Linked DNA regions of Neodiprion lecontei. Each later gene encodes a partner of the first gene's protein in a complex. Links are inferred from orthologs where the notes say so. Each region holds a gene or a part of one and is shown on either strand. Other genes may lie near its edges.

Region 1 (3,733 bases):
TTTGATGTATACATACATACCACATCATACAGATTATTTCTTTTTTTTTTTTCTATGGTGGAATTCAGATGCTTAGCGATTCGTATCGTGATCTATACTTTTGTAATTGATCTATTTACTTATACTATATACAGATGAAAATAGAAAAAAAAATGAAGAAAAAGAAATTCACCTTTGTGCATTTCGATGATATGAAACAAATGGAAATACTGTATTGTTCTGAATATAAGCCGAGGTTTTTTTATGGTTGAGAGCACTCGCCAAAATTGTCCTAGTCTTACACACGTTTTATGAGCGGGTAACTGTGGCAAACACTCTAAGATACTATCTCAAAATTGGGGGTCGTCTTATACTCTGAACAATACAGTGATTAGATTTTCATTCTTCGAAAATCTCAGACGATCATTATTGGGATGAAATAAAGAACCACATCTTTATTTCATTATCTCGTTTATCTGTAATTTAGAAGAAATGAAATAACCAAGTTCAATTACATTTATTCTAATTTACAAAATTTGCTATAATTTTAAGATTTTATCAAAGAGTAGTTTTCACGGTCTTTATGGAAACATTCTCGAGACCAATTTGTCTCTGCGTTTTTATTTTTGAGGACTGAAAGACGGTTGGTTTCTATTCAACCAAAGTTTCAATTAAATTATATTCAACAAAAAATTACTTGGAATAACTACGTTAAAATAGTGAAAACGGAACGCGCGAGGAAGAGAGATTCTTTCCGCCGCCAGTATTAATAAATAGGTACATACATAAACATATTTAAGAAAGTAGAAAAAAAGTCTTATACTCGAACCAGACTGTTTCTATTTCTTACTTATCACCAAATTTATTTGTCCTTGCGACTGGCAGTCAGACTATCATGCAAGTTACTGACCATGGTTTCAACCAGTTCTGGAATGATAACGCCGTTGCTGTCTATGAATTTGGCCACGGAATTCGTGACTGAAGCCTCGTTGGACGTTCCGGCTTTTTCATCCCTTACCGAAAGTACCAAATTGTATTTGTCATCATATTTTTTCAGGTATGAACTCGCCTCCCACACCAATTCTGGATCGAATCCAGCCGGGTCTCTACAACAACCGAATTGAGAGAGAGAAATTAAACCTGTGCAATTCATAGCTTGCTAATTTTCTGGAGATCATTCATCTTTCTCTACCTTTGAGTTGCTACCACAAATATCCCCTTTTCCTTGTACGTTGTGTATAATGTCAGCACCCCCATAACGACAAAATACTTCGACACGCAGGCAATTAGCACAGGCTTGGATGCTGGGAACGGATTCATGTAGTCCCAGAGAAGAGCAACCATTGCAACCCCGACGGCGATGCCGCACAATGCCAATCTACCGTCAAGTAGCGAGAAATTCTCCACGTAATTGTACTTTCTGGTCAGTATATCCTTGACTGCATCGTCCAGAGCATTCTTCACTGCAGAACCATCCCACTTGTTGACTTTGATCAGCTGAAAGGAGAATGTGTGATACGTAAGTTGGAAATTTTTCACTTGAAATTGTATGAATATTACGAGTAAATTAAGGTTTTGGGTGAATCCTTCGAGACGTTGAACGAGTTACTGATCAAACCAACTCTGCACCACGTCAAGTGTTCCGTTTCTGTGATTTACCATCACCATATTGCTGGTCGTATTTAACCTGTGATCAAATAGATTTTCGACCAAAAGTGGCTCTGTCCCTTCTATTCTCAATACTCACTGCAGTTTCGTCCTTCTGGTCTTTTTTACCAGCCATTTCGAACATGTTGAACAATGATGTTTTGCCGATGTAGATGCTTATCCTACTCGGATACGGCACGTCACCAATGATTTTTATAACCTCTTCTCTGCACGGCGCTCAGGTGCCGCTACCTTTTTCTTTCTTTACCCACGGAATATTAGACTTGTATATAGAGATGAAACGCGAGGTATAAATACTGATATCACAGTTAGATATCGAGACCAGTGACTTACAGAGTTGATAGAGAGTCCATGATATACATAGGCCGTGTTCGTAAATTGACTGACAGTACTGAAAATTCCCTAGGACAGAGTCAGAGCTATCCACGAACTTGGAAGCGCAAAAGAGATGAAAGATTGCTGACAGTACTGTCAGTCAATTTTCGAACACGGCCATAAACGTTGACTGATGTATAAAGGTAAGGTGTGTCTCTGCTGGAAGAACACGCCTGGAACATACTTGTCTTCTTACACCAGAGTCTATGCGGTTGAACCATCTCTGTGTTTCTCATTATTCAAGGATGAGGATTGAGGATCCGGCATTGAAACAACCGAAACAACTACAGCAACAGAACGGCAACTATACCTGCGTTCACGGAGGACGGCAAAAAGTCTGTATTGCTATACGCACGGTTCGCAACATCGTATCGGGCATGGTATGCATCTGTGATCGCAACTCCATCCATAGATCTACCACTATCCAGTCGCGACAACAAGCAAAGAGCGCGGTGGACGACGGTAAAAGGAGAACGGTATATGGAAAGAACACAGGAGGCCAGTCGCTGAGAGACGTAAATAGGGAGATTCGGGTGTCTTAATTTCATCCATCCTAAATCGCCATCGTCGCTCCGAAGATTGGACCGGTAAAAACATTCACAGATTCGAGAGCTCTGAGCATCGTTCAATCGCAAACTCCAGTTTTCCTCTCCTCCTCCCCAATTTACCCGGATTTCGAAACGTACGCAGGTATGTACGAACATGTATGCATTCATACGTGCAATAGCTTGAGAAGCTGAATAGAAATAAGAAATATGTAAGCATGAAACAGAGGCAGGTCCGTTCTCATCCTCCAAGCGTTAATTCATCTGTCAATCTATGCCGTGTTAGCGAAGCTGCCAGACAGAGTCCCGACTGTCGCTTCCTCCGTTCCGAGGAGATCGAGTCATGGAAGGCTAGTGAGGACACCTAGGTCTCTTCAATCGGCTAATGGGCCCCATCAAATCGTCCCGATGACGACGGCGAGGTGCTGATTTCGGGTGAGCGACGTTATTTGTCGATCTTAAATCCTCGTCGCGTCAGTGTATCATCAAACAAAACACGATCTCACCACTTTTCGCCAACGTGTGTAACACTTTTTTTTGGTCATGACGCTTTTTTTTTCAGATTTTGTCGATACGTCCGCTGATTTTGAGCACTTTGCACAGGTTTTATGACATCTTACGTTCTCCTTTTATTTATCTAAAAATCAAACGTGCATCTTTAAAACGTCATTATGATCATTGTCATTTTCTGGTCATCATTGTCATTGTCGTCACTTCTTAATTTCCTCTCTGCCCGTCTCTATTATCTTGCTTTGTACGTACATTCAGTTTTCAACTGTTTGTCAAGATCCTGACGTCACAGCACATAGTACAGTTCATTTTCTGCTTCCGTTTGCTCCATAAAATCCAACACATACTTGTTGCAACTGCCCAAAGATACCTTAACCTATTTAAATCAGTCTGTAATTCGTGAATTTTTTTATTTGTAGATTTTTTGTTCTATCGACTGATCCTCAGAGGTAACTTCGGCATCTTAAAAGAATTTAGTAGTGTTAAATGACTTGAAAACGTCTGTAAATAATTTGTAAAAAATTATAGAAGGTTACTGAAATTTCATTGAGCAAGAAAAGTGTTCAAAGAACTATAGTGCCGTCAAAATTCTCAGAGAAACTGTTTTGGTCTCAGTGAAATCAAATTACTGACTCTGTAAAGTTGCAACAGTCTTC
Region 2 (3,599 bases), on another chromosome or scaffold:
TATACCTTGAAGTTCTGAAATCAGAAATGAAGATGATGCTTTAATTGATTGAATTGCGATAAAGGACAGATTTTTTCATTTTCTTATTTCTCACAACTCAATCACAAGTCATGGAATAGGTTGTTTGAAACTAACTAAGCCCTCCAACATCTTGATCATGGTCCCATACGTGGCTGACCGCGCGCCCAGTAAGCATTAAGTTGATCAAACTTTGACTGCCGTAGCCGTAAGTCGAGTCTATGAGTGGCTCCATGGGGTCAGACATTTCTGATTGCATTCCTGCAAGACCTTTCGTACAAACTACCGTGTATAGGAATAATAAAATGCCAAACTGATTTTTCATCATATCAATTTGGTCAGTGAAGTATTTTTTCAACTCATCCATATTATCAATCGTGAATATCCTGAAAAAAAATTTTGAGTGTCGTTATTAAATCACACGACACCTGATATCGTCATTATTTGGTATTGTTCAAACACGTAAGTCTGAATACTCACCTCAATTGCGAATGAAAAATGTCGGGTTCTAGCTCCAGTCTATTTTCCATTGAGTTTGTTGTCTCCTGGTGGTGTTGGTCATTCTTCTTATTTTCCTCAGGAGATTTCAGGTCTGGTACCTTGTTCGAAATGTTTTCACAATTCATAGATGTCGTGCCGTACCCTTGCGGTCCCATTGTTCGAACTATACAGTATCTAGGTTGCAGGCTGTCCGCGGCACGTGCTACTATTTCCGTCATTGCCTTTACCAGCAAGAAGTTACACTGTTCGGTTCCGACCTCTTTCCAACTAGTGATATCGCTTTCTAGTAGTAATTCTTTCAGTATAAAAGCTTGAACTGGTGCTATCACTGCACACGGACCTCCCTCTGCTTGGACCAGAGCTGTCGGCTCGTCATTGCTAAAAAAAAATCCTGTAAAACAAATTGTTGGTTCTGAGATGTTGATTGTGTTGTTTCTTAGCTTTTTTTTTTATACCGCTTCCTTTAGTTATTCACAGTAAAGAAAAGAATCTGATCTTGCTACATATGGAAAAGGTGTGTTAAAATCAAATGAAGCTAATTTTTTTTCGCATTTTATAATTCAACCGTCTAGGGGAAAAGTACGATAAAAAAAAAATACAGCAAGGGTGATGTTGAAAGACATGATGTGAGAGGTGAGATTATTTATCTAACCTTGAGACCACTGTTTGAAGACGTCGTATTTGACAGAAGGACCCCATAGCAGTGTTTTAATTTCTTGTACGAGGTCTGTGTCGTTAGCTAAATTACCAGCCATTATAAGTATTTTCAAAAGAAAATCGCTCCTTTCATACAGTAAAAATTGTAGTCCTTGTCGTCGTCGTCGTCGTCGCAGTCGTCGTCGTATACGTGTGTTATATGGCCAGAATTATATACGACATACTATTGCGATTGAGACAATAATAGTTTATTCAAATAAATAATACCTTCGAAAGGACTATACTCTTAATAACCTATATTTCACGTTCGACAGTTGCCAAGGGTGTCGCCATTGTGATTAACCATTCGGCGAATGAGCGGAGAGACCCTTCTTTCACAGCTATTATTATTCTTCTCATCCCCGATTCGTTATTTACACCAAGGTTTACGCGTAAAACGTATACAAAAAAAAGTACATAAAATACACACCACGAGTTTCGCACTTTGTAATATTGTCATTCGCAACGCATAATTTCGGAAAAGTATTGTCACAAACGTTACGATATCGGCGAATAAAAAAAAATTAGTTTCAAATTCGAACTATTCGATGAGGTTCTTTCAACTGCCGCAGGCGAGTTTAAATTTTTGTCCAAAAATATTGAAATTTTCCTTCGAGTTTTGTCACCTACATCGTTATTATCACTGATCTACACCCAATACAGTTTACATCGGCTGTACTTTCTATAACATTTCGTAAGTTTGTGATTTACTTCAGGTAAGAACTGTGTGCAACGTCACATGCGGGTCACCATCTGTGGGTTTTAAATATTAGTGAAGGGGCAGTAAATTATTGTATAATTCTATAAAAATGGATTTCTTTGACTCCCTGCCAACACACATGGTACGTTTCTCACCTCGTAATTGACTTAGACTGTTAAAATCAAACGTATAGAATATCTCATATATGCAGTAGTTCATAACCTCCCAGAAAGCTTCAATATCAAATTAAACTGATAATCACTTGAAATTTGGCTCTTTCCCGTCGACTTCACGATATTTCTATTATATGCTTATACCAAAGAAGTTATTCAGAAAATCCTAAGCTCTTCTTTATCAGTGGTTCGATGGAGGATGATTCAGTTTCTCATTACAGCGTTAATTTTGCTGATCTTCCCTTCTGGGCCAGTATAATTAGCCGTAATTAACTATGTGTGTATCTTTTTGACTTTTTAAAGGACTATGACGGGCAAGCCAGGGCAGAAAAACTCTCCAGGGTAATTGTCACATTGTTTGGAGTAAGTTGATTTATTAAATTCATATTTTATTGTATAACTGAAATTGCTGAATAGTCAATATATTAATGTTTGTTTTTCCAGGTGGTTGGGCTTGTTTGGGGTTATGCAATACAGCAATTTTCCCAAACTATTTACATTTTGGGGGCAGGTTTTGTTTTGGCTGGCATAGTCACGATTCCGCCATGGCCAATGTATCGTCGCAAGCCTCTAGACTGGCAGAAGCCTCAACCTGAAGTGCCAACAAAGTTTAAGAAGAAGAAATAAATTCCTGCATTAAATTCTGACTAAATATTCTTATTCCTGATCCATATATACAATATGATATAACCTAAATATGGAATCTCGTATTCTTCAATTTAAACCATTGTAATTATTCAAATTACCTTGCAGCAAAGATTTCAGGTGCACTACACATGACTTCTATAAATTCAATCGTGTAATTCAAATTTGTTTCAAGGATGCTAGACTTTGAATGTTATTCATCGAAAATTTTGAGAATTTGAATTAATCGTTCCCGAATAGTTAGATAGTTTGTCAATGACGTCGAGGAAAATTAACCGGCAGACTACAAGGTTTCGGTACTACTAATTTTGTTACCCAATGGCCGCAAACAGTCACTGGGTTTGTTTTTTTCCGTTTAATGTTTCAAATTGATCTATTTAGTAGATACATAGGAACTCTACGCTATATGCGCAGGGATCGTATGTACGATAAAAAAATCTTAGAGACGGTTCACGATTAATTGCAGCTGCGTTAATTTTGAGTAACTAAATAATTTGTTGGAAAGTCGAAGGGAAGTTTGGGCTTTAACCTAAACGTTTCAAATGTCAACCACAAATGACGCATACCTTTCATTCTGATATACCTCATCGTGATAAAAATAGTCGTTGCTTCGGCGTTGCAAGCAAATGCAATAAACGAAGTCAGTAAAGTTTTATGCGGTGACATATGTACAGATACGTCACGCGAGTGAATGCCATGGCATAGGAGAGAAAGGGGCGTGGCCTTCCTTAACCAACTTGTGTGGTAGTGTTAAATGCTATTATTCATAGGTATCAGATACACAGGGTGAAAATGACATATATCGATCGAATTTCGTATGTTGTGCGTGCTTCGGGATAGAGGACAGGTATGATTACGTGATAAAC

Evidence for each region.
Region 2: probable signal peptidase complex subunit 2 (region 1) and signal peptidase complex subunit 1 share a complex: the UniProt entries of both Caenorhabditis elegans proteins name them as parts of the signal peptidase complex. The link is inferred for Neodiprion lecontei from reciprocal best matches to the Caenorhabditis elegans genes spcs-2 and spcs-1.

The regions. Positions count from the first base shown.
Region 1 is NC_060264.1:23,007,987-23,011,719, reverse strand, and holds probable signal peptidase complex subunit 2, read right to left. Parts: upstream 1,903-3,733; 5' UTR 1,772-1,902; coding exon 1,727-1,771; intron 1,477-1,726; coding exon 1,172-1,476; intron 1,086-1,171; coding exon 842-1,085; 3' UTR 640-841; downstream 1-639. UniProt on the Caenorhabditis elegans protein: Component of the signal peptidase complex (SPC) which catalyzes the cleavage of N-terminal signal sequences from nascent proteins as they are translocated into the lumen of the endoplasmic reticulum.
Region 2 is NC_060263.1:14,753,646-14,757,244, forward strand, and holds signal peptidase complex subunit 1, read left to right. Parts: upstream 1-1,896; 5' UTR 1,897-2,024; coding exon 2,025-2,057; intron 2,058-2,391; coding exon 2,392-2,451; intron 2,452-2,532; coding exon 2,533-2,715; 3' UTR 2,716-2,812; downstream 2,813-3,599. Other genes in the region: ubiquitin carboxyl-terminal hydrolase MINDY-3 homolog, read right to left, coding at 1-14, 136-404, 499-910, 1,172-1,274. UniProt on the Caenorhabditis elegans protein: Component of the signal peptidase complex (SPC) which catalyzes the cleavage of N-terminal signal sequences from nascent proteins as they are translocated into the lumen of the endoplasmic reticulum. Dispensable for SPC enzymatic activity.